Saccharomyces cerevisiae S288C: one gene and its partners. The protein of the gene in region 2 purifies or fractionates together with the protein of the main gene of each other region. This does not show direct contact. Each region holds a gene or a part of one and is shown on either strand. Other genes may lie near its edges.

Region 1 (8,591 bases), on a different chromosome or scaffold from region 2:
AAAAAGAGTAGCAATATTAACCAAAGCTACTAATTTGAAAGGCTACGGTTTTAAACAGTATTTCAAATATCTAAAGATCAACCTTAGAATGTTCTTATTCCCGCCAGTGTGGTTGTCTGGTATGTTTTGGGGTATTCAAGACGTTTTCCTGACGTTTTATTTGACCACTCAAGAAAGCGCCTACTACGAACCTCCATGGAACTATAGTGATTTTGGTGTCGCAATTATGAATGTTCCCACACTTATTGGAGCAGTCATCGGTTGTATCTGTGCTGGCATTGTTAGTGACTACTTTGTTCTTTGGATGGCTCGTCACAATAGAGGAATTTTAGAGGCAGAATTTAGACTATACTTCTCTATCGCAACTGCAATTATTGGGCCAGCGGGTTTGCTGATGTTTGGTATCGGTACCGCTAGACAATGGCCTTGGCAAGCTATATACGTCGGGTTGGGTTTTGTTGGGTTTGCATGGGGTTGTTCTGGTGATATTGCGATGGCGTATTTAATGGATTGTTACCCCGATATGGTTTTGGAAGGTATGGTTTGTACTGCTATTATTAACAACACGATATCTTGCATTTTCACCTTTACCTGTTCTGATTGGCTAGCTGCATCTGGTACTGAAAATACTTACATTGCTTTAGCTGTCATCAACTTTGGGATTACTGCATTTGCTTTACCAATGTACTACTATGGTAAGAGGATAAGACTTTGGACTAAGAGATGGTATTTGCAATCTGTCAATTTGAGAGACGGTGTGTAATTCAGAGACGTCTTTCTTGTATCTAGTAGATGATAGGAATTAAGTATTTTTTTTTTACCTAACTAGGATTATAATTGCAACAACAAAAGCGCCCTTCGTGAAACACGTGGGATACCGGTTAGGTAATATTACAGTTTCCTTACACACTTACTAAATACGCAACAGAGCATGTTATTAATCGTATATTTAAGTAATAATAACGTATTGACCATTCCTAAGACTGAAGCAGTACCAAGAAATGGCACTTTTTGTTTATATGACATAGTAAAAGTGTTCATTTGGCAGAAAACAAGGGTATCTGGATACTGCAATCCTCATTAGTTGCGGAGAGCTTTTTTAAAGTTTTATTACTTCGATAATGCTTTCCTCCAGAACTGGGCGCGCACTGAAGCCATAAACTGAGTGGTTGTCCCTGTGTATATTCTACAATCGCCTATTTGAAACTTCTGGGTGATAATATCGATTTAGCGATTGGGTTTCTCCCTTCTGAGATTCTGGATAAATGAGATGCTACCCTCACAGTAAAAACAGTACAAAACCTTTGTATAGTTCTAGTCAAATATGAACTCCTTCATTCATGGATTGTATACTATTGTTCTTGTTGAAAGATTCCTCTTGTGATTTTCATGGTGATTTTAAGCCTTTTTTATTGAAAGAATTAAATATTCACTAGGCTGCGATACGATAGACAAACGAAGTGATTGAAACCCGAATTAACGGATATGGCGATTATGTGTGTTTATGATCCCAATATTTGATTGTCGGAAAAAATTAATCATCTATTGGTGTGTACTCATACTACTTGTATCATATACAGTGTAAAATGACGACATAATTGATGGGAAACAGTTATCAAAGTTATTGGATGTTGAATTGCAAGAATTGATGAAGTAATAGGATAAGGAATGACAACGTATAAAATTGAAGGAGAAATAAAAATATATATTATATAGAAGTATCGGGCCCCTTTCGTAGATTCCTATATCCTACAGGATAACTTTTGGTACATTCTGTAGACCTAAGTTCATAGCTTTTATAAACAATTAATCCCAAAAAATGTCTCTTTTGATGATTAGATGTTAAAAGGTGATATTACTGACTACTTGTTCGAAGTGCCTACGCAACACTTTAGCTGCTTTTTTTAAGCAGCGGCAGATGAGGATTTAAATAACGCATAACCAAGAATATACCTAATGAAGTGAAGGTATACAGGCTGTTCTATGGACTTGAATAATACTGGCTACCCTGGCGTCCTAATGTCGTTAAGAAAGTAACTTGATATCAGATTAATCACAAACTTGGTCCACAAAATACCACTTATCTCATATAATCTAAATCTGACTAAAGGGTGTAGGCACGGAACTTCGGACCTAGAGGTATTGCTCAATATGTATATTTCTCAATGGTTCATCTAGGTAAGCAAGGCCTTGAATAATATACTTAATCTTGTCTGTTTCGCAACAATTGCTGAGTACAATAATGTTGGAATAAAAATCAACTATCATCTACTAACTAGTATTTACGTTACTAGTATATTATCATATACGGTGTTAGAAGATGACGCAAATGATGAGAAATAGTCATCTAAATTAGTGGAAGCTGAAACGCAAGGATTGATAATGTAATAGGATCAATGAATATTAACATATAAAATGATGATAATAATATTTATAGAATTGTGTAGAATTGCAGATTCCCTTTTATGGATTCCTAAATCCTCGAGGAGAACTTCTAGTATATCTACATACCTAATATTATAGCCTTAATCACAATGGAATCCCAACAATTATCTCAAAACTCACCCACTCTTCAAATAATGATGTGGTATACTACCTGAAATACGATAAAAAGTGTTGTATTACGGGCTCGAGTAATACCGGAGTGTCTTGACAATCCTAATATAAACAGTCTTAGGGAAGTAACCAGTTGTCAAAACAGTTTATCAGATTAATTCACGGAATGTTACTTATCTTATATATTATATAAAATATGAATCATGCTAAGTGGTGGAAGCGCGGAATCTCGGATCTAAACTAATTGTTCAGGCATTTATACTTTTGGGTAGTTCAGCTAGGGAAGGACGGGTTTTGTCTCATGTTGTTCGTTTTGTTATAAGGTTGTTTCATATGTGTTTTATGAACGTTTAGGATCTCAAAATGTCATACTGACGTATCTCATTTTGAGATACAACAAAAAGTATAAATCTTTGGAGGGTTGGCCGAGTGGTCTAAGGCGGCAGACTTAAGATCTGTTGGACGGTTGTCCGCGCGAGTTCGAACCTCGCATCCTTCAGTATTTTTTTTTATTTTGTCGGGGCCACCAGATCTTTAATGGCAAGACAAAGCGTTTTCAGATACATGAAATACATTGAAGCTATCTTTTTGAAGAAGAATACCTGCGTAGTGTTCTATGATTGTTCAAATAATATTTTAAAATGGTATTTTACTACTGTGTACATTTTATATGCTTAAATAAAAAAGAAAGTAGAGCACCCAATGTACGTGTGGTAAGGAAATAAATGTTCATAATTTTCATTAATGCATCAAACGGGATAAATGTTTTGGAAGAACGCAAATTTTGAAAATAGATTCCATTGGCTCTTGATAGTTGCTTTACGTATATTTTGTTTAGCCTTCTTTCCCTCATATAAGTATGCAGCTCTTCATTTTCCAAACCAGGATGAGATATGGATATATAGTTTCCCACTGAATCTTTGTGTCAATGCTACGCCCATCTTCTGCACGTCAGAACAGAATAACTACCTTGAGAAGAAAAAAAAAATACAAATGGTGGTTACTTGATAATGAATATGCTCTAATTGAAAAGAAATCTCCCTAGATATGATACCGCCCTCGACGACCCGATCTTTGGTATTTGGTAGGACTGTATCATCTTATTCCTCACATCATAGCAATTTTGTTCGTCATAATGTTCCTTTAGTTCTCAGAGTCATATGAATTCTATTTCCATAGAATTTTCCATTTTGAGCAATACGGGGAGTCGCTACCTCGATTCTAAGTTATGCTGCATTGACTTTATTGTGTGATATACATATCGATGTACTAGAAAGGGTTTGGTTTGGCCAAGTTTTTTATTATGAGGGTGCATTTTTTCTGTTTTAACACATTTCTCATGATCCTAATAGAAGGTTGAGTAGAGATGTACATAATATTTTGCGGAAAGTTTCGACACGTTCATTAGGTTCTAAAAAATTATTATTTTTCATAAGCTATTGAGATCTTATCACCTTGCTCTGTAATTCTAAAGTTGTTCTAAAACCGCAATTAATGTTTCAATTTTGGCGCTATTAATAATGATGGATACTCAACGAGGCGTACCAGTAGCATTTTGCCATCTTAACACATTAGCAAACGTTGCTATTATTGATCCTTCCATAAGTAATTTCACACATCCATTTTCGTCCCTAAGATAAAACAAAGTCTCACAATTCGTATATTGATATTTCAAACCCCAAAGCCTGTAGCCTTTTGATTATGACCGACTTCCCAGACGTGGCCATATTGATAAAGGTGCTTTCTGATCAAAGTTAGTATTAAAGAAAGGGTAAAATTCGTAATATCGTAATATTGTAATATGAACCAAAAACGTTCACAATGTGTAGGATGCACTACCAAATAGGTTGCGTTGTAGTACTCATCTCTCGGTTGCGCGACTAGAAAGTTACTAGAAAACTCCGGAATTCCTTATAATATACTGCAATAATGCACATGTATCTTTTCAGTGCAAATTAATTATAGGAACAAACAGATAGCGACAATTCTTTAAGGGCTGCTGGATTGACAACCCCTTCATCGACCATATTTGATTAGCCAGCCACCAAATAGCGTTTCAATTGACAAACTACATTATCTCGTGAAGAATATTTAAACGGTGATATTGGGTCTGTCTGATCACATTTCCAAAGGCAATGACGTGTAAATTTTTTCTTTCTCTTGTTTTATTATTTTGAATTACTTCGTTATAGCCAGCTTTTCTCACATTGCGCAGTAAAACTTTCGCTATTAAGATTTTGAAAAATTTCAACCTGACAAACTACCCATTGCTATGTAAGTACAAAGCAAACAGTTTACTGCAGCAGAGTGAAGTAAATTTTTACGCATGAGTGAAAAAGTAAATAGTGACTTTGAAGACTTTTCCTCAGATGAGGAAACCGATCAACATAACGTCTTAATTCAGACCAAGAAAAAAATTTCTAGTAAGGATGATATCTTCAGTAAGAAGGTAGAAGACATCGAAAGTGAAAACGAGTCAGACATAGAAGAAGAGCAAAAACAAGAAGAAAAAGAGGATGTAGAACAACCAGATAAAGAGAATGGAGAAAAGCTCGATCGAGAAGTAGAAGAACAAGCTTCGTCCACCACTTCACTGGATTTAAAAACAGAAAAACTAAGGCAACTGGTAAAATCAAAGGCCGCCAAGAAGTCTAAACACAAGACTGGGGTGGTATACTTCTCCAGTATTCCACCTTACATGAAACCTGCAAAAATGAGACAAATATTAACTCGTTTTGGTGAGGTAGATAGACTATTTCTAAAGAAAGAGGACGATCAAAAGTACAAGCAAAGAGTTAAAGGTGGAGGAAACAAGAAAAACAAGTATGAAGAAGGTTGGGCCGAGTTTATTAGGAAAAGAGACGCCAAATTGTGTGCGGAGACGTTGAACGGGAACATTATTGGTGGCAAGAAAGGTACTTTCTACCATGATGATATCCTGAACGTGAAGTACCTCCCAGGTTTCAAATGGGCAGATTTGACTGAACAGATTGCCCGCGAGAACGATATCAGACAGGCCAAGTTGGAGATGGAAATCTCGCAGGCCAACAAACTGAACGCGGAATTCATTAGAAACGTGGAGCAAAGTAAGATGATACAAAACATTAAGAACTCTAGGAAGCGCGCCGGAAAAGAAGGAGAGTCTGCAGATTCTCACCCTCACAGGGAATTTAAACAACGTCGTGTGGAAACAAGCCGTGCCAATGCTCCCTCTGATATCAAGCAGCAATCCTCTGGGTCCAAAGACTTGGGTAATGTTCTCACCAATTTACTATAATATAGAATCAATAACAAATATATAAACACAACCTGTCATTTAGCACGTTTTTTTGCCCGATGCTCATCGCAAAAATTTTTCGCTTGAAGAAAAATTTTTCACTTTTCTTCTTTTTGGGCATATAAAGAAGCGTAGAATATATAAAAGATATTTACTACTTGTTAGTACTTTCCCTTAAGTGTTAACTTTGAAGATCTGTTGACTTGCAGCAAAACCACTAAATATCAGGGGAGGAATAATACAATGGGTACTGGTAAGAAAGAGAAATCTAGACGTATTCGTGAAGGTGACACCAAAGATGGTAATCTTCGTGTGAAGGGTGAAAATTTCTACAGAGACTCCAAGAGAGTCAAATTCCTGAATATGTACACTAGTGGGAAGGAGATCAGGAATAAGAAAGGTAATTTAATTAGGGCCGCTTCTTTCCAGGACTCCACAATACCGGATGCGAGGGTCCAACCAGATCGTCGTTGGTTCGGTAACACAAGAGTGATATCTCAGGACGCACTGCAGCATTTCAGAAGTGCATTGGGTGAAACCCAAAAAGATACATATCAAGTTCTTCTGAGAAGAAATAAGCTTCCCATGTCATTGTTGGAAGAAAAGGACGCAGATGAATCCCCAAAAGCCAGAATTTTGGATACCGAAAGTTATGCTGATGCGTTTGGGCCCAAAGCCCAAAGAAAGAGACCACGTCTTGCTGCATCCAATCTAGAGGACTTGGTCAAGGCTACAAATGAAGACATTACCAAGTATGAGGAAAAGCAAGTCTTAGATGCCACATTAGGACTAATGGGGAACCAGGAAGACAAAGAAAATGGGTGGACCTCCGCAGCAAAAGAAGCTATTTTCAGTAAGGGTCAATCCAAACGTATTTGGAACGAATTATATAAAGTCATCGATTCGTCTGACGTGGTAATACATGTTCTAGATGCAAGGGATCCATTGGGTACCCGTTGTAAGTCCGTGGAAGAGTATATGAAGAAGGAAACACCACACAAGCATTTAATTTATGTTCTTAATAAGTGTGATTTGGTACCTACCTGGGTTGCAGTATGTTAACTTTTTTTTTTTTTTTTTTGATTCTTTCCAACCAAGAGGATAGCACGAGAGATTTTTTTTTTCGATAGAGTATGATTTTTATTACCAAACCTTTTTGTCAGGGTGCTTCTCTATCCGTTTTAGGATAAACTTATCTACAGAAGTGTCTGTTACTGTTTTGGAAGAGTAATACTGTTCGCTTATCCATATTTCCCCGTTCTGGGGAAGCCTCATGGGTAAATTAGAAGGACAACCTTTGTTTTAAAGGTATACCTTCGCTTTTTAGAACAGCGAGGATCTTATGAGTTGAGCTTTTGTTATTTGAGACTTTATCTCGGGCTCCATACAATATGTTCGTAGTAAAGATCCTCACAATTTTCTACTTTTTTTTTTTTTTTAGTTTAATCCACTCTTCGAAACAATCAATCTCGGCTATAACAATGATTATTACATTCTCTTGGGGCAAAAGATTACCTATTATGAAACAAAATGTATTTTTTACTAACAGAAGGTTTTTTTTTTTCAATTCTAACTTTACAAGTAGGCAGCTTGGGTCAAACATTTGTCAAAGGAACGTCCAACTTTGGCGTTTCACGCATCTATTACCAACTCTTTCGGTAAAGGTTCGTTAATTCAGTTGCTACGTCAGTTCTCACAGTTGCATACTGATAGAAAGCAAATATCTGTAGGGTTTATCGGCTATCCAAACACTGGTAAATCGTCCATCATTAACACATTGAGAAAGAAAAAGGTGTGTCAAGTTGCACCAATCCCTGGTGAAACTAAGGTCTGGCAATATATTACTCTTATGAAAAGAATTTTTTTGATTGATTGTCCAGGTATTGTGCCGCCTTCTAGTAAAGACTCCGAAGAAGACATTTTATTCAGAGGTGTTGTCAGAGTCGAACACGTCACACACCCAGAACAATATATTCCAGGTGTTTTAAAACGTTGTCAGGTAAAGCACTTGGAAAGAACTTACGAGATCTCAGGATGGAAGGATGCCACGGAGTTTATTGAAATTCTGGCAAGGAAACAAGGTAGATTACTGAAGGGTGGTGAGCCTGATGAGTCTGGTGTTTCTAAGCAAATATTGAATGATTTTAATAGAGGTAAAATCCCTTGGTTCGTCCTTCCACCTGAAAAGGAAGGGGAAGAAAAACCAAAGAAGAAAGAAGTTGAGAAGACGGCATAGAGGTAAAAACGGACAACCGGTGTATAATATTAATTTAAGATTACAAGTGATTTTTTTTTTCTTTTTTTTTGTTATTTTTTTTTTTGTTCTTATTATATGGCAGCAAACATTCTTGGGGAAACAACATAGATGGGTAATTATTTAGTTTATAAAGTATAATATTCCAATAGAAAACTTAAGTTCGGTAATGATATAGCCCTCTCTATAGTATAAGGTAAATCTCATTATACCAGTCATTCCAAACGGAATTCGGTCCTTACCCGCTGCTCGCTCTTTTTTCATCATTATGATATTTTCTTTATTGAGTCTTTTCAATTATAGTAGTAGAATGATAACTGACAAGAAAGATCAGTTTGAAGTTTATTAGCGTGTCTCGTTATCAGGGCTTCCTTGTTTTTCATACTGGAAATACTTCGAACGATTAGAAACAGGCAACTCAATTTTATACATTTATAAAGGGTCAAAAAGGATTATGCAATCTATGAATGTACAACCGAGGGTATTAGCTGTAGGAGGTGAGCA
Region 2 (6,194 bases):
TCTATCAAAAGTCAGATCTCTTATGACCGCTTGAACCTGTGGAATGTATATAAGCAGTTTTGATGTTAAGATTTTTTTTTCAATAGAATTTCTTCCTTCGGAAATAATCCCGATTAAGAAATTATTCTTGACGCAATATTCAGCTATATGTTGATCGGGCTTAACCGCATAAGTTTCGTTACCCTTTTTTACCCCAATTTTTAATTTCGGCGGTTATTTTCAGCCCTTTTAGAGTCAAGATATATAAGAATGCTTCTCTAAGAAGTGAGACTAACAATGAAACCCGTTTCAGACAATCTGGAAGTCTTAGAACGCATAACACAGAAATGTCAACAACATTAGCAGCACCAGCGAAACTAAAGAGTTTGCTCCTGAATCTACATACTCACTGTATTGGGCTACACGTTAACGATGTCACACCTAAAGTATATTTCAAGTTATTGATACGGCATCTTCTACAGATATCTAGATCAAACGCTGCTCATCCTAAGCTAAGAAGAAGGGCCCAGATTTTATTGGTATCGCTTTTCCTATCTGGTGTCACACTTTTTTCTGGTGTAACATATAGTACTTTCAAAATTATTCTAAAATGTTATAAATTTTACAAGTTTCCATGGAAGAGAAGGAATAGGAGACCTTTAATAAGAAGAACAAGATCTCAAATGCAATTAGACAGTGGTGCAAGAATAATGTATATTCCTGAAGTGGAATTAGTCGACCGCCAGAGTCCCGATGACAACAAATTTATGAATGCTACAGATAAAAAAAAAAGGAAAAGGATATTTATTCCACCAAAGGATAACGATGTATATGAACACGATAAGTTTCTTTTTAAAAATGTAGAACTGGAAAGAGCCAAGAATTCGCAGTTATTCTACTCAAAATTTTTAAACCAAATGAACGTCTTGTCTAAAATTTTAATTCCAACAGTTTTTGACAAAAACTTTCTTCTTTTAACTGCTCAAATTTTTTTCCTGGTGATGAGAACTTGGCTCTCTTTGTTTGTAGCCAAGCTGGATGGACAAATAGTCAAAAATATAATTGCTGGTAGAGGAAGAAGCTTTCTGTGGGACTTAGGGTGTTGGTTTTTAATTGCTGTCCCTGCTTCTTATACTAATAGTGCTATTAAGCTACTTCAAAGGAAGTTGAGTTTAAACTTTAGGGTAAATTTGACACGTTACATCCATGACATGTATTTGGATAAAAGACTAACATTTTACAAATTAATTTTTGATGCAAAGGCGTCCAATTCGGTAATCAAGAATATCGACAACTCCATTACTAATGATGTTGCAAAATTTTGCGATGCGACATGCTCCGTTTTTGCAAACATTGCAAAGCCAGTTATTGATTTAATATTCTTTTCGGTTTATTTACGTGATAATTTGGGAACTGTGGGAGTAGCAGGTATATTTGTTAATTATTTCATTACTGGGTTTATTTTGAGGAAATACACGCCACCATTAGGTAAATTGGCAGGCGAGAGATCTGCTTCAGACGGCGATTACTACAATTATCATCTAAACATGATAAATAATAGCGAAGAGATCGCATTTTACCAAGGAACAGCAGTGGAAAGGACGAAAGTTAAAGAGTTGTATGATGTGCTGATGGAAAAAATGCTGCTGGTTGATAAAGTCAAGTTTGGTTACAATATGTTGGAAGACTATGTTTTAAAATATACATGGTCCGGTTTGGGTTATGTTTTTGCCTCAATCCCTATCGTTATGTCTACCTTAGCGACAGGCATCAATTCAGAGGAAAAAAATATGAAGGAATTTATAGTCAACAAAAGGTTGATGTTGTCGCTTGCAGATGCAGGCTCGAGATTGATGCATTCGATAAAGGACATCTCACAATTGACCGGCTACACTAATAGGATATTTACTCTGCTTTCCGTCTTACACAGGGTTCACTCTCTGAACTTTAATTACGGCGCTGTTCCTTCAATCCTGTCAATACGTACAGAAGACGCTTCCAGAAATTCCAACTTATTACCCACCACGGATAATTCGCAAGATGCTATTCGTGGTACTATTCAACGCAATTTTAACGGTATTCGGTTAGAAAATATAGACGTAATCATTCCATCAGTAAGGGCGAGCGAAGGCATAAAGCTGATTAACAAGCTTACATTTCAAATTCCTTTGCATATTGACCCAATAACTTCAAAGTCCAATTCTATACAAGACTTATCGAAGGCAAATGATATAAAGTTACCATTTTTGCAGGGTTCTGGCTCCAGCCTGTTAATATTAGGGCCAAATGGTTGCGGTAAAAGTTCAATTCAACGCATTATAGCTGAAATATGGCCAGTGTATAACAAAAATGGATTATTGTCGATTCCTTCAGAAAATAATATTTTTTTTATTCCTCAGAAACCATATTTTAGTAGAGGTGGAACTTTAAGAGACCAAATTATATACCCCATGTCCTCGGATGAATTCTTTGATAGGGGGTTTAGAGATAAGGAGCTAGTACAGATATTAGTCGAAGTGAAACTAGATTATCTTTTAAAAAGAGGCGTTGGCTTAACTTACCTAGATGCCATTGCCGATTGGAAGGACTTATTAAGTGGTGGTGAAAAGCAAAGAGTAAATTTTGCTAGAATCATGTTTCATAAACCACTATACGTAGTATTAGATGAGGCTACAAACGCAATTAGTGTTGACATGGAAGACTATCTGTTCAATCTTTTAAAACGATACAGATTCAATTTCATTTCCATATCACAAAGACCCACATTAATCAAATATCATGAAATGTTACTAGAGATCGGTGAAAATCGAGATGGCAAATGGCAATTACAGGCAGTTGGTACCGATGAAGCAATCACGTCGATTGACAACGAGATTGAGGAATTGGAGAGAAAACTAGAAAGAGTAAAAGGTTGGGAAGATGAGAGGACGAAGCTACGGGAAAAGCTTGAAATTATTTGAAAACACCCTAGAAAGGGAGAGATTTTATTTAGCGAATATAATTTATATATTATTTCCGTAACTGAATTTGTACTTTTGAATGTTTAACTGATATCTAGAGATATCGACATGGGAATGCCCTCTCAAACTAGAAAAGGGCAGAGAACGAAAAGAAAATGAAACAATTTGTTACCTACTATACAGTTGTTGGTCTTGCCAACACAAATATGAACATATATATATATATCTCACTTGATGAATCCACGTATCAAGGACAACCTTTTCATGGAAACATATACTGTAAAACAAAAAACTCTATTTGAAGTCCTTATGTGTCCACTTTTCAGTGATTTTCTGCTTATACTTTCTACCTTTCCTAACGGGCACTCTTGTTTCGACCTTACCAGAACTTTGTAGTTTTCTCACAGTATCATATAGCAGATTTCCTTCAGGTTTCAGTTTTCTCAATGAGTCAGATAATTCGTCAGAAAATTTAATCTCCAATCTTTCATCAATCACAGAGTATTTCGTCCCTAACTTGTGTTTCTTATTTTTCTTGCTTTTTTTAACCTTGTTGCTATCTGACTCTATGGCTGAAAGTATCTCAGTCTCTTCAGAATTGATAACTTCTTCTAAATCTTTAACACGTTGTCTCAATTCTTTCAACTCTTGTTGCAATTTTACTTTCTCTTCATGTCTCTTTGCCTTGTTTCTTTGATATTTTGTTTTCTTTTTATTCTTCACAGGCTTATTTATTGATAGTTTTATTTCCTTATCAGATCCACTACATTGCGTACTTTCATTTTCATTTTCATTTTCTTCTTCTTCTTCTTCTTCTTCTTCGTTTGATGAAGACTCTTCCTCTTCATTGTCATCTAAAGTTTCCATTAAATGTCTAATTCTTTCTTTGTACTTTTCCAAGGCGATTCTTTCATCTTCTCTTGCCTTTTCCTCTTTATACTCTTTGTTTATCAATTCTGACCAAGCTTTATTGTTGGGATTGTAGGATTTACCAGCATGTGGAATTTCTGTGAATTCTTTTACTGCAATTGGCTCTATATCTAAAGTACTTGGTCTGACTGAAGCAGTAGACCAACTTGTCGTGGATTTTTTCAATAGTTCTTCAGGTATCTGGTCCTTTTTTTCCACATCAAGTTTGATACCGGAAGGTAATTTGACCTTCTGTTTCTTTGAATTGGATTCTTCACCCCATAAGTCGCCAGCCGTTGTTTTAACTAGACCGTCTTTGGCAACTCTATTCTTGATCTTCGATTCGCCGTGTACTCTGCCAGCCAAAGCCATTAATTTCTTTAATTCGTGTTTAGAAACACCTTGAATCTTATTAGGATTTCCACTACTATTCTTATGGTGATTTAGTGCTGCAATTTTTGAATTCGTTTTAACGGCGTCTAAAATCTCTTTACTTTTTAGAACCTTCTTAATTTGTTTCCTTTTAATTAATTTATTTTTCAATATCTCATCACCCTCAACATCAACATGAAAAAGAGCATCATTTTGCAAAGAGGTTATATCACTGGTACCATGCGTAATTTCATGATCAATTTTCTTTTCCATATATTGTTCTACGTCAGATAAATCGATATTTTTTCTCCATGCTTTCTTACCCTTTCTTGAAGACTGTTTGTATTGAGATGGTTTCTTGGTTAGATTAGTTGGAGCCATTTTTAAATAAATGATTCATTAACGTGAGGATGGTATGGATCACAAGAAAGCCGAACTAATAGCATAAGTTGTAATGTAAGGACCCCATCGCATTTTTATTGCTCTTTTCTTTTTTAGAAGTGAAAAAGCTCGGGCACGGAAAATTTTTTGATGGAATTATAGAATTTCGTCAAATATGACTGTATTCTCTCAGAGCACACCTGTTAGGTAATACGCAATATTATGATAATATTACTTTAGTACTTGGCGTTAGCCTCTTGTGTTTCATTGTTATGGAGTGATAAAACAGGCCTATGGTTCGATAAGCGTACAGATTTTGGGATATACCATAAACTTTGTATAGAAAGTGTTGTATAAGTGCATATACTCCATCGATTATGTGGTTCTACAAAATTGACATAAGAAAATTAGAGAGTTATAAAAAAGACAAAAGTGAGGATATCAACAGAGAAGATAAAATATAGTAATAGGTTGTAAATAATAACAAAACTTGCATGAAAACTTGGTAAACTTCAAATTTTAACCTTCGTATGATGATTAAAAAGGATATGACATCATGAGAAAAAAATGAGCGATCTGTCTATCAATAATTAAAGGAAGAAGTAGAAATAGATAAAGGTTTTTTCTGCTTCATCTTTAACAGCAATATAGCATATTCTTGTGGTTCGAAAGAATAAATTCTAGTCATTATAGTGAAAAGAGAACAAAACAATATAAGATTTAGGGGATGGTAAAAATGATTTCTTAGTTCCTCTAATGATTTCATATCCTTTCCTGTCACATGAAGAGAAAAAGGAAGGAAAAAGAAGAAAAGATAGATAATATATTAGTGCAACGGTAACAAGTTGTTACTTTATCGTTCTCCTTACAAAACAATTTCCTTTTCTTCGTCCCACAACTCTCTTTGGAATCTCCAATGAATGGATGAAAGATCCTCCTTCCTGTCTTCTTTGTCACCCACCAAAGTACCACTTGGAGCATTCTTCGTTGATAAATTTAGAGCAGAGGCGAGTTTTAAGAAAGTGTCATCCTTTTCAGGTACAAGGGCGCCTTCTTCGGGCGTGACAGAGTAGTCAAAATCTTTGAACCATCTTCTTTGCCAGCTAATGCCTTTAGCTTCTTCCTCTTTTCTCAATTCTCTTTGCGTTTCTTCCAATTCAGTTTTCGTTTTGGCAATTAAGTTAAAATCGCCTAATTTGATGGCACCAGCCACGTCGTACCAGGCTTTTCTACTTTCCAGTGGGTGTTGCTCCTCCAAAGGCTTGACATTCAGATGTTCAGCAGGGATTCTAGCAGCATCGTAAAATAATCGTGATTCTTCTTTCTTATTTGCCTTGATTATTTTAGAAGAGCCAGACCATTGGCCTGATATTGTGTATAATGCCTTTTCCTTGTCCTTGCTATCTTTAGAGTCTTTGTAAATTCTTGCCTTGAATGAATTCTTTTTACCAGAAAAGTAGCCTCTACCTGAAAATTCAATAACACAAAGTAGACCTGTCGAAGATTGGATATATGATTTTCCTTCCAATTCAACAAAGGGAGAAGCGACAAGAATACCTTCAATATGCAATGGAGGTGGGGTAACCAAATAAC
Region 3 (8,866 bases), on a different chromosome or scaffold from region 2:
AATTGGTACTCCTGCTACAGATTTATTTTTTCTCCTTCTAAAATTATAACTCAAGCAAGAAGCCCTAATAACAAGTTAACCAGACTAATAAGTCGACTTTTTCCTCGAATGTAGAAAAGAAACTTTTCTACGCAGCTGCAAACTTAATCTATCCCTCCACCAAAGCAAAATGAAAACAAAGCCATACTGGGAAAAATCTGAAAAAAAAAATGGTAGGAGTAAAAGAAAAGAAAAAATAAAGGTTACCCTGCAGTTTGGATAGTCGGGTAACATTTGGCCCTTTTCCTCCTTGATTGGATATTATTACCCCGATTACCCCTCATCTTGGGAGTGCCCCGCTTTTATTTCTCCCGCCAATCGGCTATTAACGGCTTTACGTCATTCCGTGGGCGGGTCAAGCGAGCCGCTCCCTGGTTTGGTCACGCAAAACCGAAAGGCTCAAACAAAACTAAGGCCATCATATATATATATGCGGCTGCGTGCGTGTATTCTCCCGGATAATATGGTGCGTTGCAATTGGAGTATTGGAGAAAATTTTCTTTTCCCTTTCATTACGGCGGAAATACTTCATATAAAAAAAAAGAATACAATCAGTCTTTAAGACTATACGCATAAGCATTCAAGACACATAGAAACACAAACCTATATTTTTAATGTCAGCATCAGCTTTTAATTTTGCCTTTAGAAGATTTTGGAATAGTGAAACAGGCCCTAAAACAGTACACTTCTGGGCCCCAACTTTGAAGTGGGGGCTGGTCTTCGCAGGGCTAAATGATATTAAGAGGCCTGTTGAGAAGGTATCAGGAGCACAAAATTTATCTTTATTAGCGACGGCACTGATTTGGACGCGTTGGTCGTTTGTCATCAAGCCCAAGAACTATCTGTTAGCTTCCGTCAATTTTTTCCTGGGTTGCACTGCAGGCTACCATCTAACAAGAATTGCTAACTTTAGGATACGGAACGGTGATTCTTTTAAACAGGTTATTCACTACATAATAAAAGGGGAGACTCCTGCAGCCGTCGCAGCAAAGCAAACTGCATCCACATCGATGAACAAAGGTGTGATCGGTACTAATCCGCCAATAACGCACTGATTACGTAAACGATAATATGTTCCTGAACTCGCATTTTTTTAATGATTTTTTATGACCTCTTATATATTCTTTCATTATATAACCTCTATATTACATCAAAAGATGGAAAAATATAAAAAAATTAAAAAAAAAAAAAAGAAATTTTTTCCAAAAGAGTATATTTATATGTATGTATACATGTAGGGAAAATAAGAAACTTTATTAATAGTAAAAAAGCATATATACTTTATTATTAACTCTTTTGTTTTTCTCGAGAAGCTTAATTTTGGGTCAATTCAACGACCTTTTTAGCAGCAGGATCTAATTCATCAAACGAATAAATCTTCACGCCTGACTTATTGATAATGTCGCGGCCTTCTTCTACTTTGGTACCTTGCAAACGTGCCACAATGGGGACCCTAACTTCTAGTTCTCTGGCGGCTTCTACCAGCCCCAGGGCAACATAGTCACATCTTACGATACCGCCGAAAATATTGACGAAAATTGCATCTACGTTCTTATTGGATAAGATCAATTCGAAACCTTGTTTGATGGTCTCAGGGGTGGCACCACCACCACAATCCAAAAAGTTCGCAGGATCGCCTCCATTTAATTTGATGACATCCATAGTAGCCATAGCCAAACCAGCACCATTGACTAAACATCCAATGTTACCCTTCAACTTAACAAAATTCAAATCATACTTCTTTGCCTTAACTTCATCAGGATCTTCTTGTGATAAGTCCCTCCAGGAATATATCTTTTCCTGTCTGAATGATGCGTTATCATCAAACCCAAATTTGGCGTCTGTACACATGATTTTGTGGGTTGGATCATGTTCAATTTCACTCAAAGGGTTAATCTCCACTTGTGTAGCATCCCTTTCCATGAATATTTTATACAAATTGGAAACAGCTTTTGCTGCCTCGTCTTGTGCATCGGGACTGAAACCGAGACTCTTGGCAACATCCTTGGCCATTTGTGGGCTCAATCCCTTTGAAGTTTCAATTGAAAATTTCTTTATAGCATCTGGGGTTCTCTCAGCCACCTCTTCAATATTCATACCACCTTGACTGGACGCAATGATCATCGGTTTCTTGGTTTGTCTGTCCATTAGAATAGATAAATAAGCTTCATGCTTTGTATCTACTCTTTTCACTATATATACAGCAGATACTGGCTTCCCCGCTATTCCCGTCTGTTTAGTAATCAGGTTATGATTGAGCATTTCTTTTGCAACATCCTCTGCCTGCTGAGGACTTTCGATCATGTGAACACCGCTTTTGTAACCGGTGTCGAAGTGACCTTTACCTCTACCTCCGGTCAATGCCTGCGCCTTGATGACCAGTTTGTTAGTGTTTAATTTCTTGGCTGCTTCGAAAGCCTCTTCGGGAGTGAACGCTGGAAATCCTTCTGGAGTACCAATACCGTATTCCCTCAATAACTGAGCTGACCTGTATTCATGAATTGACAAGTGTCTCCTTGCTTGTAAAGCAGCTTGCGCGTTTAGCCTGCTTAATTGCCCACACTTTGAAATTAGGGATAAGGATTTTCTTGAGTACATTTTGTTCAGTTGCAATGCTTCAGTATTTTTTTCGATTGTATTGACTCAATCCTTATTAATCCTAACTACCTAAAAGTCAGTTACAAAAAAACTGGACTATCGCTCTATAGTCACTGTTATTTTTCGAGAGAAAACGTCAAAGTGCTGATAAGGAAAACGTCGATCTTATATAAAACCTCAAAGATGTTGACTACGCGGCAATTGAAAGGCCAACCAACTTTTAGAATACTCACTCCGCCGCTGCGGGGAAAAGCCGAGAATTCCCGATGAACACATAATCGATACCAGTTGGAGCATTTTTCTCTGTACCAAGACATAAAAAGAGTTTTTTTTAGTATCTACCTGGCTTTGGTGTTCCATTCAAGGTAGAGAAGTCCTCATACAGTTGGAGAGATGAATGTATCTGTGTATATGTATGTATATATTAATATGGCTACGATGTCGTCTAATACCCCTTCTTCTTTTGTTTGGTGATGTGTGCACGTAACACTTTTTGCTTGTCTCGTAGTGACATTTTTTGTTTACCTCTAACAGATCTCTTGTGAATAGACATAACAAAGTTCTTCCTTCTTTCTTTTTCTCTGTTGGTAGTAGAACGCATGTTGTCACGCTTACCGCGTCTACTACCAAATTTGTCTCTACCTTCACGACCTTCCAACACCTTTTGTAATCTTTCCTCACGAGACTGTTTGTATTTGATAGGGCCTGTTAGTGTACTTGCATCAACTAACTCTTCACGCTTGTCTTGTTTGTGGATACCCATTATTTTAGCAACGCTTTCCTCATTACGCAATTCTTGTAGTTTAGCGAAATCTGCCGGAGTTAAAATACGTGTAGAAGCAATTTCACGGAAGGCAGCTTCGGGATCTATATCTGCATCTTCTTGCTCATCCTTCACTTCTTTTTCATCGTCATCATCGCTTAGTTCCAAATCGGAATCTGATTCCTTGCCCTTAGCATTGTCTTTTTCATCGTCACTATCTTCCATATCAACGTCATATTCTTTATCACTATCCATGGTGACCCACTCACCGTCGACATCGTCTTCTTCGCTATCGACATCTACTTCCCAGTTGGCATCAGCGTCTTCATTTTCACTCTCTTCACCATGTTCTTTCTTCCATTTGGCTAACAGTTCGATACCAGCAATCCCTTGAACACTGTTGTCGGCACCAAATTGCGGTCTTTTTGAATCTTTACCTCCTTTCTTGGCTTCTTGTACTTCCATGGCGGCATTCTTACCACGATCCTTCTTCTTTAGCATTTCTGGTGCCACGTCTCTATACAACGCTATCAATGACTTGGCAGCCATATTGACACCTTTAGCTTTAGACCCCTTATATTCTACCAGATCCTGTAGTAGAATCTCATCGATAGCCAAAGGTGCACGAGAGCATATTTCTCTAATGGTATTAATGCCTGCAGCAGCGACTTCATTGGCAACACCGTCTGATACAAACTCGTCTGCAATCTTTCTCACCATGACATTTATAACTTCAGGAGGGACAAGATCATGACATGCTTGGGCACATGCGGACATAATTCTTGTAACATCTCTTTGTTTCGGAGTTAAGTACTTTAAAAAAAAAGTATAAATTCCTAAAACAATTAACTTATGGGTACCAATCAACCTTGATAACAGCTGCATCAAAGATATTTTTTGTTCCATGTCAAATTTGTTTTTCGTTTTGCCTGAAAGATGTTCCTTAAACAATTTTTCGGCAAATCCTTGTGGATCTCTCAAAAGGTGGATAGCACTGAAGTTTAAATACCCTTGAGGAGCACCCGGTCCGTTCTTCTTCTTCTTCTTCACAGTTTTTATGGCATTCTCCAGCTTCTTACCACGTCTACCCGTTTTTTTATTGACTTGCATCTTATGCCTTAATGCATCTAAATCAAACCCATCCTCATCCTCGGAATTTTCTTCAAAATTTTCTTCACGTTCTCTGTCAGCATCCAAAAAAAACATCACACCAGACATGACAATCTTAACATCCTGATGTAATGCTGCTTGGGTCATAATTTCTACTGTTCTTGAATCATCCCAAATACCACGTCTCCAAAGTTCTCTGGTTAATTTTGTGGCCCAGATTCCCTGGGAATCTGGTTGATCTAACAAATTAAAGCAAACGGCCTGCGTAGATTTGTTCAATTTTTGATTTTTACCATTAGTATTACAACTTTTTAATAAAGAAATTAAATTTGTATAAATGATTTTCCTCAATTCCTTGGCGTGTGAATTAACGCCGAGTGAATTACCATGGGAAGAGTAAGCAACCAATAAAGGAAATAAGCTTTGAATTAATTCCTCAGCAGTAATGACGTCCTTATTCCTTAACATCGTCAAACAACTTAAGATTTTTTCTTTCAATTCAAATGGCAAGGACTTATGGTGTTCCAGCAAAAGCTGCTTTAATTCAGACGGGAAGTTTGCAGTTTCACGAGGAAAACATGAGCAGACTTGAGATACGAAGCCAACCAATTCAATAAGTTGCGAAGTTGAAGTGCTCATGGTGGTACCGTTAGTACCTGCCATTGTAGAAGATCCATTTCCTACATCGAGCCCATTAGTGGCAGCTGCAGAATCACCTCCAGCAAGCCCATTTAACATAAAAATGTCCCTTAGCGATTCATAATGTGCATATTGTTGAAGAAACTCCTCTTGATAGGACTCTGGGTCACGCTTTACCAAATTCTGTAAAAGAATGATATTTGTTGGGAGCATAGCTGCTCTACTTCTTCTACCCATTGTTGATGCCCTTGATTGGTATATTCAGTGCGTCTTGTGCTTCCTCCTTAACTATTATTACTTATTCAAAAAAGTGACGTTTGATATGTTTTTTTAGTGGTAGAACGTTCTATCTGTTAAGCGTGTTATGGTTATCTGCGATGAGATGAGTTTAAAATTTTCATTTTTTAGCCGATCAAGCAAAAGAAAAGAAAAAAAAAAAAAACTGAAATTTCCACCTTACCCGTTTTTTTAATGGAACAGTGATTGTTACGACATTGAGATTTTAGATTTATATAATCACATACATATTAAATAGTTAATGCACCTTTAATTCTTTTGCACTTCATGTTCTATATATTTTAGCCAAAACCAAATGTATTGCGTCTTTATTTCCGTTCCCTTTTTCCTTCCTAGGGTTGATTACCTAAACGTTACCTAAACAAACCGTCAATGGCGTCGTAATTAATCTTCTTGGAGAAACTTGCCTTCTGCAACATGTTCTTGACACTATCAGCAGTTGTGAAATCACCACTTTCCTCAGCTGCCTTCAATGCAGCGTGTAAACCAGACTTATCTTGTAAGTCTGACATCAATCCGATAGCTGCTGCTGCATCCACAGTTTTTGTAGGTTCGTCACTTCTAGTATTATTCCTACGTCTCGTACGTTTTTTTTTCACTGATGTGTTACCTGTGGCAATATCTGCCTCCTGTTTCAAACGTTTACTCTCTTGTTCAAGTAAGAAATCTGCGTTCAGACCAATCCAAATTCTTTCCTTCAATTTAGAAGCTTCCTCGTTTAATAGGTGCGCGTTTAACTCCTCATCATCAACATCTTCTAAATTATCTGGGTCGTCACTAACTTTCGAAAGGTATGTGTCCGTTGTGGGTAACAAGTGTAAATTGCGAGGACAATATGGGTCTGTTTCTAGAGAGTAACCATCAATGGCATCTTGAAAATGCCCAGATTCGTTCTCTTTCTTTTCTTCTGATGTTTTTGTCTTTACCTTCTTGACTTTTTCCTCAGTCCCTTCCGTCTCTTTGTCTTCCCCTTCAACATGCTCGTTCTGGATAGAAACTTCAGAAAGTTTGCGTTTCCTTGTTTCGTTTTCAGAACCTTCATGGTATATATTTTCACCATCTATACCATTAGTAGCCTTAATCCTCTCCACAACACGGGCCCTTCTTTCTGAAAATTGTTTTAAGTAAAACAGGACTTCCTTGGAAGACAGTTCTTGTTCTCCTAATACTTGCGTCAAAATTGGATTTTTATTCAATGCTTCTTCACTTGTTTGAAACATCTCTTCTTTGTCTAAAGAGTCCTTTATTTTTCTTTCTTTCTTTCTGTTCTTCACAAAGGAGGGAGGCCTAGCCTCACCGTCTTCCACATCATTTTCTCTAAATTTTTGAACTGAAAGTTTAGCAGCCTTTGTATTTTTGAATTCGTTCAACCGTTGCTGTAAAGTTTCCTCGGCGACATGTGAAACTGCGACGATCTCTGTATGAGTTCTTCTCAAATTATTCATCCTGCAAGCTAGTAGAATACATGCGCCGGCAATACCTGCAGGTCTACGTCCTTCAAACATCCAGTCCTTGGACATTCTTTGAGCCAATTTTACGGCATCTTTTACCACTTTGATCTTCTTGTCAGCAAGATCCAATTTTTCGGCAAAATGTTGAATGAATAAGGAAGGATCCGCTAACGGCAATTCTGTGATATGTAATTTCTTTACCATTTTCAAAAATGTGGCTCCTATGGAATACACACTCACCTGTAACCTTGAAGAGAAGTCGATCAGCATATGATGCGTCTTTTCCTTTCTACATGCAACGTAAAGACATGAAGCGATAACATTTTGGGACCTACGACCTTGTACAAAGTTATTAGCCAATGCAAGCTTATACCATTGGAAAGCAGCATCTGTGATATATTCCGGGATATGTAATGCGTAAGAAACGGCGCGTAATTTCCTTCTTGCATTGTTCAATGTGGCTTCTCTAGATTCTAGAGCACTAGAACCACCAAATGCAGCATGACTTTGTCCTGCACCGATAAAAGAACCTTGTACTACAGCAGCACCTGCACTTGTTTCACCGAATGTAACTTCAGAGACGATAGGATTATCTTCTGAGACAACACCACAAGCTTTACAAACTAAATCGTTGTTAGCATTGGAAAGATCTCTCTCAAATTCGGTTCCGTGACAGTTCTTACACACTGGCATTGGTATATGACTATGGACTCTTTTTTATTACCGTTTTTACCATTGGGATTGTTCTTGATGCGATCAAAAATATGATTTTTTTTATCATACCTGATACTTCGCGAAAACCTTAGAATAGCAAATAAGGCCATCGCAACATTAATAGACAAAAATTAGAGTCACTTCACTTCGTTGATTTTTGATAGCGACGGCCGTGACCATTGCAAGATTTCTAATGAGGGGAAGAACAACTTTTCTTGTAGATTACCTCCACTTTAATCGGATGTCTTTTTTTACGTCCAAGAGTATTCAATGTCATCAAGATAGAAGCAAATTTTTCTAACACTAAATGTTATATTGCATCTGTATCAGTATATATGTGTATGTGGGAAGCCATAGTTCACTACTTCACAACTTTAAAAACAATCTATTTTCCTTTGTTCACTAAGTGATTTTGTAGGCGTGATCAAGTGCTTACCGGGGGGTTTTTATTTTTTTTAGGTTAGATCCGATGGAGAAGCGATGCAGGTGAAGTTTAATAAGAACCCAATTCGTAAGCAGGGGCACAAACAATCAAGAAGTTATCAAAGTCACTTTTGAGATACCAAGAATCTAATCAGATTATTTTATCATTTTATTTTACCATCAATTGTAATTATTCTAGTTTGGGAATTCGCGATACTTCAATTTGCTAATATCAGTAACCACAGAAAAATGGCAATAGCATTATGGTATTGTCCACCACAAGGATCAGTTGCTTACGAGACATTACAGATGCTTATATTTTCGTTTCAAACGTTGTTCCCAGATTCACCAGTTTTTGAACCTCATGTGACGGTAACGTCCCATTTGGTGTGCAATAGTAAAGATGATGTCAACAAAATCTTGACCTCCTGTGTTGCTGCCATCCAATCGATAAGGTCACACCAAACAGCAAAGAAAGGACGTAAGGGACAGGTATCCCATGCTGTTGCAGCTCCTTTGGTATCTTTCAATGGATGCAGTGTAGGTAAACAATATTTCAAGAAAATTGTGCTCGAGTGTAACAAGAACAAAATACTTTATGGGGTCGCACAAGTCATGAGAGAGATGTACGTAGAGATCGATCCTGAGACGCGAAGTAGCCGTGCCGCCACTTGGGTGCACGAGGAATTCCATCCTCACGTCTCATTGCTTTATTCGGATATTCATCCGGTAAGTCAGGCGTCATTGCGAGTAGTTCAACAAAGAATTGAAGATGCTCTAGACGTGCAACTAGTTCCAAGAGAGAAACGTAAGGGTTCCGGAAACGCTGATG
Region 4 (7,105 bases), on a different chromosome or scaffold from region 2:
GTCCATAAATGAGTATGTTCGGCAGGAGCATTTGGTGGTTTAACGCTACCCATCTTTTTAGCCGTATTGCCATATATTATTGGTCTGCTCACGGAGAGAGTTTTTATCCTTTTGCTTATTGTCGGAGCCATCTCGCTTTCTTTGTGATGCCGTAAATAGGTGGTCACAAGTAATGTATCTATCCCTCTAGCTTTCGAAGGCTACTTGTTCAGTTGCACATAGAAGACATCTAAACTCTGGAAAAATAATCAATGGTGCCGAAGCGTCATCACGTCATCCGAATAGCGGATATTTCGAAATTTATAAAAAAGCTTTGAAAACAATCCTAGAAGTAAAGCAGTTTCGTTCAATATGTAAGACGTTCAATTAGTTGTACAAGAGGTTAAAATAGTGCTATAAATTATGGCTATCGAAAATATATACATTGCCAGACATGGTTACAGGTCAAACTGGCTACCAAAGGGACCATATCCACCACCGCCCACCGGTATTGATAACGATGTCCCGCTTTCGGAACACGGTGTTGAACAGGCACATGAACTGGCGAACTATATCTCTAAATTAGATGTCAAACCAGAAATGATTTTCTCCTCCCCATTTTACCGCTGTTTAGAAACTAGTAAACCCACAGTGGAGGCTTTAAAGATTCCATTATATGTCGATCGTGGTGTAGGAGAATGGTATAAGCCTGATAGACCCATTATCCCGGAGCCTGCTACTCATGAAGTTATGAGTAAGTTTTTTCCAAGCATGATCTCTCCAGACTGGGAACCTAGTATTATTCCTAGTAATAAGGGTGAAACAGAAGAAGATATTTTTGAGAGGTGCCATAAATTCTGGCCTGTCTTTATTGACAGAGTGGAGAGAAAATTTCCAAATGTAAAGACCATTATGATAGTTACCCACGCAGCCACTAAATCCGCTCTTGGTATGAACTTGTTGAAATTCTCCAGTGCCAAAGAGCCCATTGATAACAAAGGCACCTTTATAAGAAATGGAAGTTGTGCTATTGATAAATTTGAGCTGGTGAAAGGAGAAAATGAAAGTATACCATTTGAAGAGAGAGAGTGGAAACTTACAATGAATGGCAACACCTCCTTTTTAACTAATGGGGAAGAAATGAATTGGACGTTTATGAATGCCTTTGAGGCTGGTTCAGACGCTGATATCAAAGCGAGAAGAGCAGCTGAGAGCGGAAAACTAAAAATGGAGTGAAAACTAAAGTGAGTCTTGAATTCTGTACTTCTCATTATACACTTCTGCATTTGATTTTTATTTCATGATGAAGCTGTGTGAATATATATATATATATACATATGTCAAAGTCTAGTGTAAATTGATAGAATTAACAGTATCTTTTAATATCCCTAAACTTCAAAATTCAAGGTTCAACGATTGAAAGATGAGCTGTCTAGGTAGTAGTACCGAAACCTTTCGAGTTTTGTGCTATCTCTGAAAACTCATTATCCTGCTAAACCCTTTCTAATGTGCATAGCAGCTATTGCAACTTTAGCATCCTCATTACAGACGGCATAGCAGAGACGTATGCGGTTACCCCCCAGATTTTGCCTGTTTCTTTTCACTATGAAAAATTTTCCGCCATAAGAAAAAATGAAGTAGTGCATCGCATCTCATCTCATCACTTAATTTGAAGACGATTACCATTACTTTTAACTTCATTAACTACCTTTTCTATAGGGTTAAGTTCTAGAGATAAAATAACAGAGGAAAGAGATCGATATGGTAAAGTCAACAAGCAAAACTTCCACCAAGGAAACAGTAACCAAACAACCCACCGAAGAAAAACCTATACAGGAGAAAGAAGAGTTGGCTCTAGAAACATCGTCTAGCAGTTCAGATGAAGAAGACGAAAAAGATGAAGATGAAATTGAAGGTTTAGCCGCTTCTGATGATGAGCAGAGCGGTACACACAAGATTAAAAGATTGAATCCTAAGAAGCAGGCTAATGAAAAAAAGTCGAAAGATAAAAAGACACTTGAAGAGTATTCTGGGATTATTTATGTGAGTAGACTGCCACATGGGTTCCACGAAAAGGAATTAAGTAAATATTTTGCTCAATTCGGTGATTTAAAAGAAGTGAGATTAGCACGTAATAAGAAAACTGGAAATTCCAGACATTATGGCTTCTTAGAATTCGTTAATAAAGAGGATGCAATGATCGCCCAAGAATCTATGAACAATTACTTGTTGATGGGTCATCTACTACAAGTGCGTGTATTACCAAAAGGAGCTAAAATCGAGAAATTGTACAAATACAAGAAGAGAGTTCTAGTAGAGAAAGGTATCACCAAACCAGTAAAACAGCTAAAGGATAACATGAAGCAAAAACATGAAGAAAGGATAAAAAAATTAGCCAAGTCAGGTATCGAATTCAAATGGTGACTTGTCACTTCTCATCCACCCTGAGAAAAGGGTTTTGTAAGATAGAATAGGAGATATAGCAAACTTGGGAAACCATTTATATCATTAATTCCAGCAATATAGTTCCGTTTGTCCGTATTCAATGATATTTACATGATTGCTTTTACGAAGATTCAACGACCAAAATCACGGAGCGGGTAATAGCCTGGAGTTTCCGGATGAAAAATTTAACGGCCCAGAAAAAGAACAATAGCTGCAAAAAAGAAAGCTATACGAGATCGAGATAGTGAGAGAGGTTAGCATAACGAGAAAATTTTTGTCGCATTCGTGGCCAAAAAGCGATATTTGAGAAGCATTGTTATTATATCAATAAATAACAAATATATATATTGTCCTTTTTCCAATAACTATATAAAGAACAAGAAGCTTTTGAAACTTTCTCAAAAATTTTCGTTCAGGCTTCCTCGTTAATATTTAAATTCGATTTTCATTTTCTTCATAGTAAAGAAAATCAATCAACTACAACATAAAATATCAAACAATCATGCCTAAAGTTTACAGTTACCAAGAAGTTGCCGAACACAATGGCCCAGAAAATTTCTGGATTATCATCGATGACAAAGTTTACGATGTTTCTCAATTCAAAGATGAACATCCAGGTGGTGATGAAATTATAATGGATTTGGGTGGACAAGATGCTACAGAAAGCTTTGTCGATATCGGTCATTCTGACGAAGCATTGAGACTACTGAAAGGTTTATACATTGGTGACGTTGACAAGACCAGTGAGCGCGTTTCTGTGGAAAAGGTATCTACCTCTGAAAACCAAAGTAAAGGTAGTGGTACATTGGTTGTCATATTGGCCATTTTAATGCTAGGTGTTGCTTATTATTTGTTGAACGAATAATTTTTCTTCCAGAATAGCCCACACTCTTCTCCAAACTCAATTGAATTTTTCGTTTCAGTTTATTAAATTATTTATTTACAAGCAATCAAGGCCAAATTAATGTCTTACAACATTAACTTATGCTACTATATCGCATAGAAGTATGTCACTGTATCATAGAATCTGCCTGGCAGATAGAATTATTATAAATTAATATGTATATACTTATCTTTGTGTATGGCTAAAAATCATCGTCTTAGATAAAAAAAAAAAAGGCAAATAAAGCTCTGCTCTTACTTCAATACGATCAACCTGGTTGTCGTGCATTTCGCTCATTCTAAAATGACCCATAAGCGCTAGTGCACGACTTCTTTGTAAGTCTACTGTTTTTTTGAAAATCATTCGTTTAACATCGGCCCCAGGGTTGTACGAGAACAAAGAAAAGTGTCTGTCCTATTATTTTACGGCACACTAAGCGTTATGCGAAATAACTTCAATCCAGTTGCCACCGTTCACCCAAAAACTTAGGAGTATTAAAGAAAAAGTGTGACGAAGAGCTTTAAAATATTAAAAATGTAGTATACAGCAAATAAAATTTTATCATGCATTGAAGAAATAAGGTGCAGTCAACTTATATAATTATTATTAATAGAGATGAATGAATTGAATCACTTTGACTTCAATAGTTTGAACGACCTCTGTTACCCCAGCCACCATCTCTCTGCCTGTTACCGCCGTAACCACCACGGCCACCACCGTAACCACCTCTACGGCCATAGCCACCACGACCACCACGACCACCACCGTATCTTGGGTGACCGCCACCATAAGATCTCCTGTCGTATTTCAATAATTCGGGAGGAATATTTTGATTAGCTTCTCTCATGATAGAGATTAATTTAGCACCTAAACCTTTGTTTTGTTCGGTGAAGAAAGATATAGCAGTACCAGTAGCACCTGCTCTACCAGTTCTACCGATTCTGTGAACATAATCTTCAATGTTACCTGGCATATCGTAGTTGATAACGTAATTGATACCTTTGACATCTGAAAAAATAAAGAAGTAAACAAACGTTTACAAAGCATACTGTTAGTAATTTGGTTCGTTATTCTGTATATGAACTTTATTTTCATGCCCCCCACAAATTCATGTTTGGACTCCCAACATTGTCTCAAATTTCCCCCTGGCTTGAAGATTATCAGAAATTATATTTTTATTAAAGAATTCGAAATATTTAATCATCAATACTCCAGAATCCTTATTCAAACTGAATGAAAGCTAGCACTTAAAAAAAGGAAAACAAAGTAAATGATTTCTGAATATGGTTGAAATCCTTTTATTTTGTTATTTTCCATTTTTATCAGCACTTCTTAATAATTCGAACTTGGGATGCAACAGTATCTCAATATAACTACAAAATGCATAAACTACACAAAATGAGAATAACAATAGTCAAGAAGGATGACGGCATTTCAAAGTAGAATATACTATTATTTTTCCAATAAAACAATCTACCCTTGTACAAATGCCAAGCATTGAAAAAAACAACGATCAACGAAGCGTATGTATGCGTTCTAGAAATAAGCTGAAAAGCCAATTCCTTGTTTATTTGCGCCGATGTCAAAAAGCGAAATTTCTTTTGACATGAAGTGCAAATCATGAACACAAATACACTTCTCCGAGTTTATAATTTCCCGTCTCTCAAAACGACTAATTAAAGTCAATTTTTCTCATCCTCCCAATATTAGTTTTCTGTAGTGATGCATTAGAAGTCATTCGAATTAAAATTCAATTTCCGATACTCCCCATCGAGAATAGACTCACATAGAGTCTAGATTCGAAAAGGCTCAAAAAAAAAAAAAAGAAAAAAAGAAAAAAAAAAAAAAAAGAAAAAAAAAAAAAAAAGAAAAAAGGTCTCTCTTCTGTACTATCATGGTTGTCATAAAGTCATTAATGTCATTAAAAGCCATTAGGAAATAGCTGTAATATCGTTAGGGGTAACAAAAAAAAATAAAATCAATAAAAAAATGGAGAAAATTTTAACATACCGATACCTCTGGCGGCCACATCAGTAGCAACCATAATTGGGGATCTACCGTTTCTAAACTCTTGTAGAACCCAGTCACGTTCTCTTTGGTCTTTGTCACCATGAATAGCCAAGGCGGGCCATCCATCTTCTCTTAGATACTTGGTGATATCATCGCACATTCTTTTCGTAGAAGCAAAGATTAATGTCTTGTATTCGTTGTCTTGAGAGGCTGTTTCTAAGTACTTGTTCAAACGATCTCTCTTTTCGAAATCAGAAACAACTTCGACGATCTGAGTAATATTATGGGAGGCAGATAGTTCTAGAGAACCAACTTGAACTTGAATTGGATCATTCAAGTAATCAGCGGCTAGTTGCTTCACCTCCTTTGGCCAAGTGGCAGACCACATCAAGGTTTGTCTATCAGGTCTGATTTGATCAACAATCTTTCTGATTTGAGGTTCAAAACCCATATCTAACATTCTATCAGCTTCATCAAGAACCAGGTAAGTGACTCTCTTCAAATTAGTCTTACCAATCTCTAGCATATCAATTAGTCGACCTGGAGTAGCAATAACAATTTCAGAGCCACGAGATAAATCTCTGATTTGTTGACTTTTTGGAACACCACCGTAGACACAGGTATTTCTGATTCTGGAACTATGACCAAACTTGGAACATTCTGTTTGAATTTGAACAGCCAATTCTCTAGTTGGAGCCAAAACCAAAACAATTGGTCCATCGCCTGGAGCCAATAATGGTTGAGCGTTGATATGAACAATACCTGGTAAACAATAAGACAAAGTCTTACCGGAACCAGTGGCAGCAATACCAACCATGTCCCTACCAGATAAAGCCATTGGCCAACCCTGACATTGAATGCCAGTTGGTTTGTCAAATCCTTCAGCCTTCACTTCATTCAAAACGTAGTCTGGGAAACCAGCTTCATCGAAAGTGGTGATTGGCTTTGGAATATCGTGTCCGGAAATAGTCATTTCATTTTCCTTTCTGAACTGAGCAATCTCACTGTCCGATCTGTCGCGAACACTTTCGTGTTCAACATAGAAATTCTTTTCGAAAGTTGGCAATTTGGGTAATTCTTCATCCCAGTTTGGTTTGATCAATTCCTGGGGTTGGTTGTAATTGGAACGACCACCGAAACCACCACGGTAGTTACCGCCTTGTGGTCTGTCATTGTAAGAGTTTCTATCAGAGTTTCTTCCACCGCGGAAGTCGCCACCTCTAGACTTGTAGTTAGTCTTGTTATATTGCTGATCTCTACCACCGTAAGTCATATTTGCTCTAAATTTGCCTTAATAGTGCTTAATTCTGTTACAGGTTGTTGACAAGAAAATAATTTGAATGAGATACAGAAAAGTATAAGTTATTTGAGCGTAGGACAGTCTTTTTATAAGACAAATAAACTGAAGGAAAAATTTTCTGCGATGAGCATCGGCGTAAAAAAAAAAAAAAAAAAAAAAAAAAGAAATAAAAAAAGAAATAAATTTTTCAATCATTCAATACGGAATACGCCTTTAAAAAGGAATTTCGAATTCTCAACATTATTAGCACCTTGTACGAAGGTGTATTTTTATCTGGTTATATTATACATAGATTTTAAATAGCACGACTATAAACGGGATACACAAATCAAGCTGTATCTATACTAGCGTGGTGTGCATAATTATTAGAAATTTCAGAGTGACAGAGGGTCTTTGAGTCGATCCGTAACATCTACATGCTCTTGATTTTTTCAGTAAACTTAGATTCTACAACGTCACATAAATCCATCAAGTCCTTTAGCCCTTTT

The links.
Region 1: the proteins of NOP53 (region 2) and NOG2 purify together in Saccharomyces cerevisiae (affinity purification with mass spectrometry; 9 studies listed by BioGRID, with this or other methods). This does not show direct contact.
Region 3: the proteins of NOP53 (region 2) and SDA1 purify together in Saccharomyces cerevisiae (affinity purification with mass spectrometry; 5 studies listed by BioGRID, with this or other methods). This does not show direct contact.
Region 4: the proteins of NOP53 (region 2) and NOP15 purify together in Saccharomyces cerevisiae (affinity purification with mass spectrometry; 4 studies listed by BioGRID). This does not show direct contact.

The regions. Positions count from the first base shown.
Region 1 is NC_001146.8:720,598-729,188, reverse strand, and holds NOG2 (putative GTPase NOG2), read left to right. Parts: upstream 1-6,076; coding exon 6,077-6,886; intron 6,887-6,977; exon of another isoform or gene 6,978-7,251; intron 7,252-7,418; coding exon 7,419-8,069; downstream 8,070-8,591. Other genes in the region: HOL1 (Hol1p), read left to right, coding at 1-763; RNA-binding ATPase activator ESF2, read left to right, coding at 4,883-5,833; CCR4-NOT core DEDD family RNase subunit POP2, read left to right, coding at 8,542-8,591. UniProt on the Saccharomyces cerevisiae protein: GTPase that associates with pre-60S ribosomal subunits in the nucleolus and is required for their nuclear export and maturation.
Region 2 is NC_001148.4:272,929-279,122, forward strand, and holds NOP53 (Nop53p), read right to left. Parts: upstream 4,602-6,194; coding exon 3,234-4,601; downstream 1-3,233. Other genes in the region: ATP-binding cassette long-chain fatty acid transporter PXA1, read left to right, coding at 327-2,939; oxysterol-binding protein KES1, read right to left, coding at 5,467-6,194. UniProt on the Saccharomyces cerevisiae protein: Late-acting factor in the nuclear maturation of 60S ribosomal subunits, which is required for normal acquisition of export competence. Required for the export of the large subunit.
Region 3 is NC_001139.9:976,683-985,548, forward strand, and holds SDA1 (Sda1p), read right to left. Parts: upstream 5,387-8,866; coding exon 3,083-5,386; downstream 1-3,082. Other genes in the region: MPC3 (mitochondrial pyruvate carrier), read left to right, coding at 654-1,094; LSC2 (succinate--CoA ligase (GDP-forming) subunit beta), read right to left, coding at 1,354-2,637; transcription factor TFIIIB subunit BRF1, read right to left, coding at 5,800-7,590; CPD1 (2',3'-cyclic-nucleotide 3'-phosphodiesterase), read left to right, coding at 8,284-8,866.
Region 4 is NC_001146.8:413,124-420,228, reverse strand, and holds NOP15 (rRNA-binding ribosome biosynthesis protein NOP15), read left to right. Parts: upstream 1-1,740; coding exon 1,741-2,403; downstream 2,404-7,105. Other genes in the region: YEATS domain-containing protein YAF9, read right to left, coding at 1-131; YNL108C (uncharacterized protein), read left to right, coding at 403-1,215; CYB5 (Cyb5p), read left to right, coding at 2,927-3,289; DEAD-box ATP-dependent RNA helicase DBP2, read right to left, coding at 3,948-4,315, 5,318-6,590; DNA-directed RNA polymerase core subunit RPC19, read right to left, coding at 7,030-7,105. UniProt on the Saccharomyces cerevisiae protein: Involved in the biogenesis of the 60S ribosomal subunit. Required for pre-rRNA processing and cytokinesis. Associates with the precursors of the 25S and 5.8S rRNAs.